2 linked regions of the Cricetulus griseus genome follow. The protein of the gene in region 1 interacts with the protein of each later gene in a pairwise test. Links are inferred from orthologs where the notes say so. Each region holds a gene or a part of one and is shown on either strand. Other genes may lie near its edges. The genes, in order: Ric8a and Efemp1.

Region 1 (4,452 bases):
GTAAGCGCCACCCCCCACTAAGGTTCCCTCCACCGAGAATAGAGCGATGGCTCCAGCTCTGGACTTCACTTCCTATCCCCCTACCCTCGGATGCCCTCACCGCGAGTCCAATCAGCCATCTCGCCCTCCAGAGCCCCACTCTGGGACACCGCAGCACAGCGACGGACGTGGCACCGGCTCCTGGAAGAGGCTTCCGGTTCCGCCTCAGGTATAATAACTTCCGGGAGAAGGGACTGGAGCGGAAGAAACAAAAATGAAGTTGTTCCATGGAATGTAAATAAGGGAAGGGCGGGCCGCCTGCGTTCGTGCCCGCGGATTGGCCAGCAATAGTAGTCCCGAGATGTGGGTGGTACCCGGAGCATGAGCTCGGGCACAAACCGGGAGCTGAGGCTGGAAACCGGCTCGGTAAAGCTGCCGGATGCCTCGGGCGCTGCGGAAGCCCGAGTGTGAGAACTACAAGATGCGGAGGACGGACAGAACTGAAGGAGACTGGCGAAGGAGACGCCAGGGCCTGACACCGAGCAGGCGCAGGGCACGCGCCGGTTAGCTCAGCGGGTGGCAGATCATCCGCTGGAGCATGGCTTGTGTGTCACCGCGAGGTACACTCTCACCGACCATGCCTCCAGCCACGCGGAGTGCGGACCCGGCTCCCCAGCCACCCACCCTCTACCCAGCGTTGGAACGCCTCTCACACTGACGGGCCGCGGCTGGCCGCCCCTCCATTGCCCCTCCCATGGGAGTGGCTTTCTCCGGGTGGTTTTCGCTTCCCTCTGACCCTTCCTCATACACTGGGACTTTCTTTTTCCTTTGATGGCCACATTGTTTTTGATGGTTCGGTCTTTCGTTTGTTTTAAGGACGGTCTCACTATGTATCCCTGTCTGGCCTAGAACTCACAGATCTGCCTGCTTCTGCTTCTCGGGTGCTGGGATAAAGGCGTGCGCCACCTCGCCGAGCTATCCGCTTTATTTTGACCACCCGAGTCGTTGTGTTTGTCTTTCCCGCGGAGCATGAGCTTCAGGGTCTGGACCGTGGGGCTCCAGCTGACTAAGCGACCAGAAGATAGTGCTCCCTTCATCTCTCTCCCTGTTCCCTGACCGGTGCGTAAGGAGGGCGGTCCATGCGGGGGCCGAGACCCCACCTCCACGCCCCACGCCTGCTAGAGAGGAGGGAGAAAAGGGGGGCGAGGGGATGCTACTTGGCTAGCTAGCGCCGCTGTTCCAAGACGAGCCGCTCGGCGATCGCGGCCAGGTGGGCTCCACCTTAAACCGGAGGCCCGCCCCACGCCTGTGCACACCCTTTCTGCTCGGCTGTGCTCCCGGCATCCCTCACGCGTGGACTCGGGGCTTCCGGACCTGGGCGGAGCCCGCGGGTTTGGCCGATTGCGTCTTCCCAGCCCAAGCCTTCCAGCACCCGGTGCCAGGGGCCATGGAGCCCCGGGCAGTTGCGGATGCTTTGGAGACGGGAGAGGAAGACACAGTGACAGAAGCTCTGCAGTCGTTCAACCGGGAGGTGAGAGGCACCCGGCTGCTGAGGAAATTTCTTGGAGAGAGGAAGCAGTGGTGTGCGCGCAGCGCGGCCGGGGTGTGCGTGCGAGTGTGGCAGGGAGCACGGCCTTGGGAGGCGGGCTGGGCCTCGGGGGTTTCAGTGGTGGGGCAGGTGTAGGGGAAGCGAGGGTGGTGGGCCCTGCCTTGCGTTCAGAGCAATGGCTGCTGCCTCAGAGGTAAAAGCAGACCGGCTGCCCTGACTCGAGGAGCACAGGTCCTACCTGCGCGTGGACTTGAGCCTACTGGGTCTCCTCCCTGCAGCACTCCCAGAGCTTCACCTTCGATGATGCCCAACAGGAGGACAGGAAGGTAGGTGCCATCCCAAGGGGCTCCTAGGGCAGGCATGGGCTGCCCCAAGAAGAGGGACTGGTGGATCCACTTTTGTCCCTCCCCACAGAGACTCGCAAAGCTGCTGGTCTCCTTACTGGAGCAGGGCTTGTCACCGTCACACCGTGTCACCTGGCTGCAGACTATCCGAATCCTAACCCGAGACCGCAGCTGCCTGGACTCATTTGCCAGCCGCCAGAGCCTCCATGCACTAGCCTGCTATGCTGACATCACCATCTCAGAGGAGCCCATCCCACAGCCCCCAGACATGGATGTCTTACTCGAGTCTCTCAAATGCCTGTGCAATCTCGTGCTCAGCAGCCCCGCAGCGCAGATGCTAGCAGCAGAGGCTCGCCTGGTGGTGAGGCTAGTGGAGCGTGTGGGACTGTACCGCAAAAGGAGCTATCCCCACGAAGTCCAGTTCTTTGACCTGAGGCTCCTTTTCCTGCTAACTGCCCTTCGCACTGATGTGCGCCAGCAACTGTTTCAGGAGCTGCACGGTGTGCGCCTGCTGACTGAGGCGCTGGAACTGACGCTGGGGGTGGGCCCCAAAGAAAAACCCCCGGTGGTACTTCCGGCCCAAGAGACAGAGCGGGCCATGGAGATCCTCAAAGTGCTCTTTAACATCACCTTTGACTCTGTCAAGAGGGAGGTGGATGAGGTAAGTTGTAGCCTGAAGTCATGGGTGGGACTCAGCTCAGCTGGGACAGTTTTGTGGTTTTGCTTCCTTCCTGCCTCAACTTCCTGGGTGCCAGACATGGCAAGGATAATGGGACATCAAGGCAGGGAATCCAAGGAAGGTTTCTGAGCTGTGTTGTGGGGGTGTGTTTGTGGGAAGGCTTTAGGTGGCCAAAGGTCACCAACTGTGCTGTGGACAAAGCCAAGTGATCAGCTCCATGTGGCCCTGGAGCACTGGAACAGGGGACTCCTCCTTACAGGAGCCATTTTCTGTCTTTGGTTAGGAAGATGCTGCCCTTTACCGGTACCTGGGGACCCTTCTGCGGCACTGTGTGATGGTTGCTGCTGCTGGAGACCGCACAGAGGAGTTCCACGGGTAAGGGGCAGGACTTACCGTGTGTTGACAGTGGGGAGAGTACTTAGGCATGGGTACCCTAGTCCTCAGCCCTAGGTGTCAGTAGAAGCACCAGGTCCCACCGTAAGAGTATGACTGTCAGAGGGATGGGAAACCAGAGTGTTCCCAGAGAGCCCCAGGAACTCAGAATATGACTAGGGGAAGAGCTAAGGTGGAAACAATGGTGGCCCTGGCATTGTAAGGCAATGGTGTTCCTGCTGGTGGTGACCAATAAGTACCTCACCTGACTTGGTATCTCAGCTCAGACAGAATGGGACAGGCAGAAGTTTGTCTCCCCACCAAACTTGAATGGAGTACTACCTGCCCTTGCCTCTAGTCCTCGGTGCTGTCCTCAGTCCCCCATATCATGTATACCCCAGGAGAGGAGCCGGGGATTACTTCTGTGCTAGAGTTACTCTGTCAAGGCCTCTGTCTGTCCCCAGCCACACGGTGAATCTCCTGGGAAACTTGCCCCTCAAATGTTTGGATGTCCTTCTCGCCCTGGAGCTACACGAAGGATCCTTAGAGTTTATGGGAGTCAATATGGAAGTGATCAGTGCCCTTCTTGCCTTCCTAGAGAAGCGTCTGCACCAGGTAGGTGGAGGACCTGCTATGTTGTGGCTTCCATTTCTGCACCAGGGAGAGAGGTCAGCTTGAAGGTATAACTTGGACAGTTTCTCTGGTTGCTCTGTGGCCCCACCAGAGATAGCTATTCAGTCAGACCCTCTCCGAAGCTTGTGGATACAGCTTGTGTGTGGACCTCAATGCTGCTGATTCCCAAAGAAAAGCAGGCTTCTCAGGGTCTGCCAAGGTGAATGTTGTCTTTTAGGTCTCTGCAGTTCCCTGTTAAGTGATTCTCAGAAGCCTTTGGTTCCTGCTTCCCTAATGTTCCCATACATTGGCAGCCATAGGTGACAGCATTAGTTGTCCTGCATCTTTTGTTTTTTGTTTTTTATTTTTTATTTTGGTTTTTCAAGACAGGTTTTCTCTGTGTAGCCCTGGCTGTCGTGGAACTCACTCTGCAGATCAGGCTGACCTCAAACTCAGAGATCAGCCTGTCTCTGCCTCCCAAGTACTAGGATTAAAGGAATGACCCCAACCCCCACCTCCACCCCCACCCCCGTTGTCCCTCTGCATCTTAAGGAGACATAACCAAGGGTTACCTGACACCTACAGTTATAATATGGGACCAGAGAGCTGGTGATCTAGCCTATCCTGTGGAGCTCACACAGATGAAAGCCATAGATAGAGGTTCATTAGATCTCCGAGGAGCCATAGGGTGCTCAGCACCTATGAGCTGGGTGAGGACAAAGAAGCTAGTGTTGAATATGCTAGCTGTGACTGCCTGCCCTTATTGCTATAACGGCTGGTATTGGACTCCAGGGAGATAATGGGAAGGCAGGGAAGGGATAGGTACACTGCTTGCTGTCCATGAAGCACTGTGGTTAAGGATGTTAGTTAGTGTTTGCTTTTGCTGTTTCTTGAGGGTAGTGTGTATCTGATGTGTG
Region 2 (3,812 bases), on another chromosome or scaffold:
CCTTTCACCTAGAAAGGGCACTCTGTGCTAAATTGGAAAACAGCATCACAGTGATAGCATTAATGCATTTCAGAACAACAGAAAACCTTATTAGTGTTTTAAAACCAGGTTCCAAGAATTATGTGTCAAAGAAAGCCTTACTAGGTTTTATCACTGGTCCATCTTCATCCTCCTTCCCTCTTTTTCTGTATAGAGTCTCTGTTATTGCTCCCACACCCGGCTACGTGCAGGGTTATCTCAGAATGGCCCTCTTATGAAATGAAGAGCTTACTTTATGACACTACATGCAACAATTCAATTTTCCCAGAAAAATCAAAAGCAAAATAACACAAAGGGCCACTCTCTGCTGTAGATAGAAAACAGAAAGCATAGTTGATTCTCATTGTTGAGAATTAATTTCTTTTCATTGATTCTCTACCCACAACCCTGAGTCTACCACAGTGATGATCTAAGATCCCTTCCCCAGCAAGTCTATCTGGTTCCATCCAAAAAAAAATAGTCATCTAGAAATTACTCATTTTATGACATTTTTATTAAAGCTTACTCTTCAGTTGTTAGAGAATACCAAAACTATGTAGCCCCCTTTTAAAATCTAACTTCCTGATGGATATGTGATTTTTTTAATGACTGTGAATGATGTAGATAAGGGAAAATGAATTCCACCTACAAGTAACTAAATTCCTACCACACTTCAGTGAGGAACAAACTCTTGAAGCTGGCTTTCTTTGGTAAGTTCACCTCTTTTCTAGAACTTTGACTTGCCTCCTACTGAAGACACATGTAGCAATTATTCCCAGAAGTAAAATGTCTTAGAAAGCTATGTATTTTGACCTATACTAACATCTCTCCTAGAAGAATAAGATCAAATTGATGCTTTTCATTTTGAGTTTTACACTTGTGTTAGTCTACCATTTGAGAAAAATATGCCCAAAACAGCAACAGAGAATATGTAATAGTAAGGCTTAAGAAATTCTCTTAAATACGAAACAATTTTATTGCCAAAGTAGGAGTTGTGCAATCTAACTCTCTCTCTCTCTCTCTCTCTCTCTCTCTGTGTGTGTGTGTGTGTGTGTGTGTGTGTGTGTGTGTGTGTGTGTGTGTACATGCACATGCTACTAGTGATCAAACCTAGGGCATTACACATACAGGAAAGTGTTCTACTGATGAGTTATATTGTAGTCTCATTTTACTTACAGCTTTGAGATAGAGTCTAAGTTGTCAAGGCTAGACTTGAATTTCCTCTGTAGCCCAGGCTACACTTAAATTGGAGATCCTCCTGCCTTAACCTTCCAAGGATCTGTTATTTATTCTCATAGGCATATCTCTGTCTAATAAAGTATAAAACTGTCTCAGGAAAGTATCCATGCCTACTTGGAAAGTGATAAGTGATAGATAAAAGGAAGAAGATGGATTAAGGCTTTAACTGTAGCTGAAAGCAGCTAAAGGGCTAAGACAGGCATGAAAATTGTTAGGACATCTTAAATCTCAGGTGTACATACTATAGTTCTGAAATTATTTTGTAGGCATTTGCATTTTAAATGTCTCCAACATAACATATTATAATGCTTTTTAATAATAAAGTAAAATTCAGTTTATGAAAAATGAAGTGGCGAATGAAGAAAGCCTCCATATCTTCACAAACAACTGGAATTCTTTCTATATTGCATGTCTTTCTCAGATATCGATGAGTGCACCTCAGGGACCCACAATTGTAGAGAAGATCAAGTGTGCATCAATTTACGTGGCTCCTTCACATGCCAGTGTCTTCCGGGGTATCAGAAGAGAGGAGAGCAGTGTGTGGGTAAGTCCCTGGTATAGTATTAAGACTCCTGTCTTGAGAAACTTTAGGCAACAAAACAAAGCCCTCCCACTTGATTGAAGAATGATAGCTAGCAACTGCTTCCTCTTCCAAGGACGACCAATATAGTTTCTGACTGCCAACAGGAACCTTAAGGTTGAGCCTACCCTGAATACTAAAGTACTATAGACTAAGTGAAAGCAAAAATCTAGTCTGATTGGAACTATAAAAACAATTAAGAACTAAATAAATTAGGAGTTAACTAATTAGGGGTTGTGTCACTAACATACTGTTGACAGGTGCTTCACTTGCCACTACACAGAGGAACATGGTGCATGAGAAAGATGCTGAGGTCAAATGCCCCCTCTACCACAACTGTCATTTGAATCTATGACTATTTAGGTTACTCTGTATCACTATAGTCATTTGTCCTATAGAAGCAGCACTAGTTCCAACTCAGGAGCTCATAGATGCCAATAGTTAGCACATGTGTGGTCTTGTGCCATGTGGCTGGCTGGGATCATCAGGTAGAGTTAACATAGTCTAAAGTAATGGTTCTCAACATTCCTAATGCTGTGATCCTTTAATACAGTTGCTCATATTGTGGTGACCCCCAACCATAAAATTATTTTGTTGCTGTCTCATAACTATAATTTTTCTACTGTTATAAATTGTAATATAAATATCTGATATACGGGTATCTGATATACAAAGGAATCATGACCCACAGGTAGAAAACCACTGCTCTAAAGCCTCTTTACATTGCAAGTCTTTGATGATGACAGGAGACCTCCCTGAGGTCTAGGACCATGTCAGCTTGTGTCGGTGCTGATGCCACAGTACCCACAAAGTGCCCAGGTGGTAAATTGTCTGCATACATTCTGAATGAATGGAAGAACACAATTTGAGGGCTGGCCTGCAGTGAAGTAAAACAGCTCTCTGGCTCAATCAAGAGGCCTAGCAGAAGTCATGAACCTCTAGGATTGGCTCCCTCTGCCCATCTGTTTACATACCTAACCCTTTACCACAGACCAGTGGGAAGGCCAGATTTTCTGTTAGGAGCCAAGAGTGAGGGTTTGGGGACAGGCAGCCAGCATCAACTTCTACCTGAGAATGTGAGCTGTTGACATAAGAATGTCAGCACTCAGCTCTTTGTAGACCATGGCTGGCTCTGCCTGCCATGGGTTGTGTCTAGGTGCTGGAATGGGTGCCCAGACTCAAGGAAGAACCAGGGTTTGTAATGCTGGAAGCTATGACACAGAGCAAGAGCACTGGAAAACTCCACAGATGCCAAAGCTATGCTCTTTGGGTTAGTCAGGAAAATAAACACTGAGGGCCTAAAAGAACAGTAGTAACACGCTCCACTGCTGGGAGAATTGAAGACAAAGGAACATAGAGAGACAGCCTTTATGGGAAGGGAAGTGGAAAGCAGAACTCATATCTCATCATGTGTGTGTTGATGTTGCCCTCGCCCACAAAAGTAGCTCTACATTCCTCAGTAGAACATAAATAGGGTTTCCTCATCATTTTGATTGCATCAGTACCCTTCCTCCCAAGATGTATCACAGCTTCTTCTCACTGATTATGGTTCTGTGCCACACATTTATACACATTCTTTCCAGAACATTGAGACACTCCCTTACAAAACCCCATTTCATTATCAAATCCCAACCCAGAGTCACCTCCCCTAGGAGCTAGGATCTATCCAAATATAACTAGTCACTTCTTCTCCCTACCAATTAAGATGAAGTAGATCTTTTTTGAAAATTTCCAATCTCTTGAAGTCTGATATTTATATAAACTATAAGGAAAGTGTTGTGCTGGTTTCAATTGCCATGGCTAAACATGTACTCTGAGTTTTGGTACTTGTTATGGATTGACCCAGTCCTCCATGGACCACCACAGTCAGCAGGCCACTGAGCTGCTTACTGTCTCTGTCCCTTGTACACCTTTCTATTATTGATCTTCGAATTCTGTGGAGTAACATGTTTATGCCTGTATCCTGTGACAGACA

Evidence for each region.
Region 2: the proteins of Ric8a (region 1) and Efemp1 interact in binary tests that used the Homo sapiens proteins (3 or more experiments, as listed by UniProt). The link is inferred for Cricetulus griseus from reciprocal best matches to the Homo sapiens genes RIC8A and EFEMP1.

What each region holds. Positions count from the first base shown.
Region 1 is NC_048596.1:60,341,129-60,345,580, reverse strand, and holds the start of Ric8a (synembryn-A), read left to right. Parts: upstream 1-1,373; 5' UTR 1,374-1,426; coding exon 1,427-1,510; intron 1,511-1,806; coding exon 1,807-1,854; intron 1,855-1,942; coding exon 1,943-2,533; intron 2,534-2,834; coding exon 2,835-2,926; intron 2,927-3,387; coding exon 3,388-3,538; intron 3,539-4,452. Other genes in the region: Bet1l (BET1-like protein), read right to left, coding at 101-362.
Region 2 is NW_023276807.1:78,378,887-78,382,698, reverse strand, and holds part of Efemp1 (EGF-containing fibulin-like extracellular matrix protein 1), read left to right. Parts: intron 1-1,678; coding exon 1,679-1,801; intron 1,802-3,812. UniProt on the Homo sapiens protein: Binds EGFR, the EGF receptor, inducing EGFR autophosphorylation and the activation of downstream signaling pathways. May play a role in cell adhesion and migration. May function as a negative regulator of chondrocyte differentiation.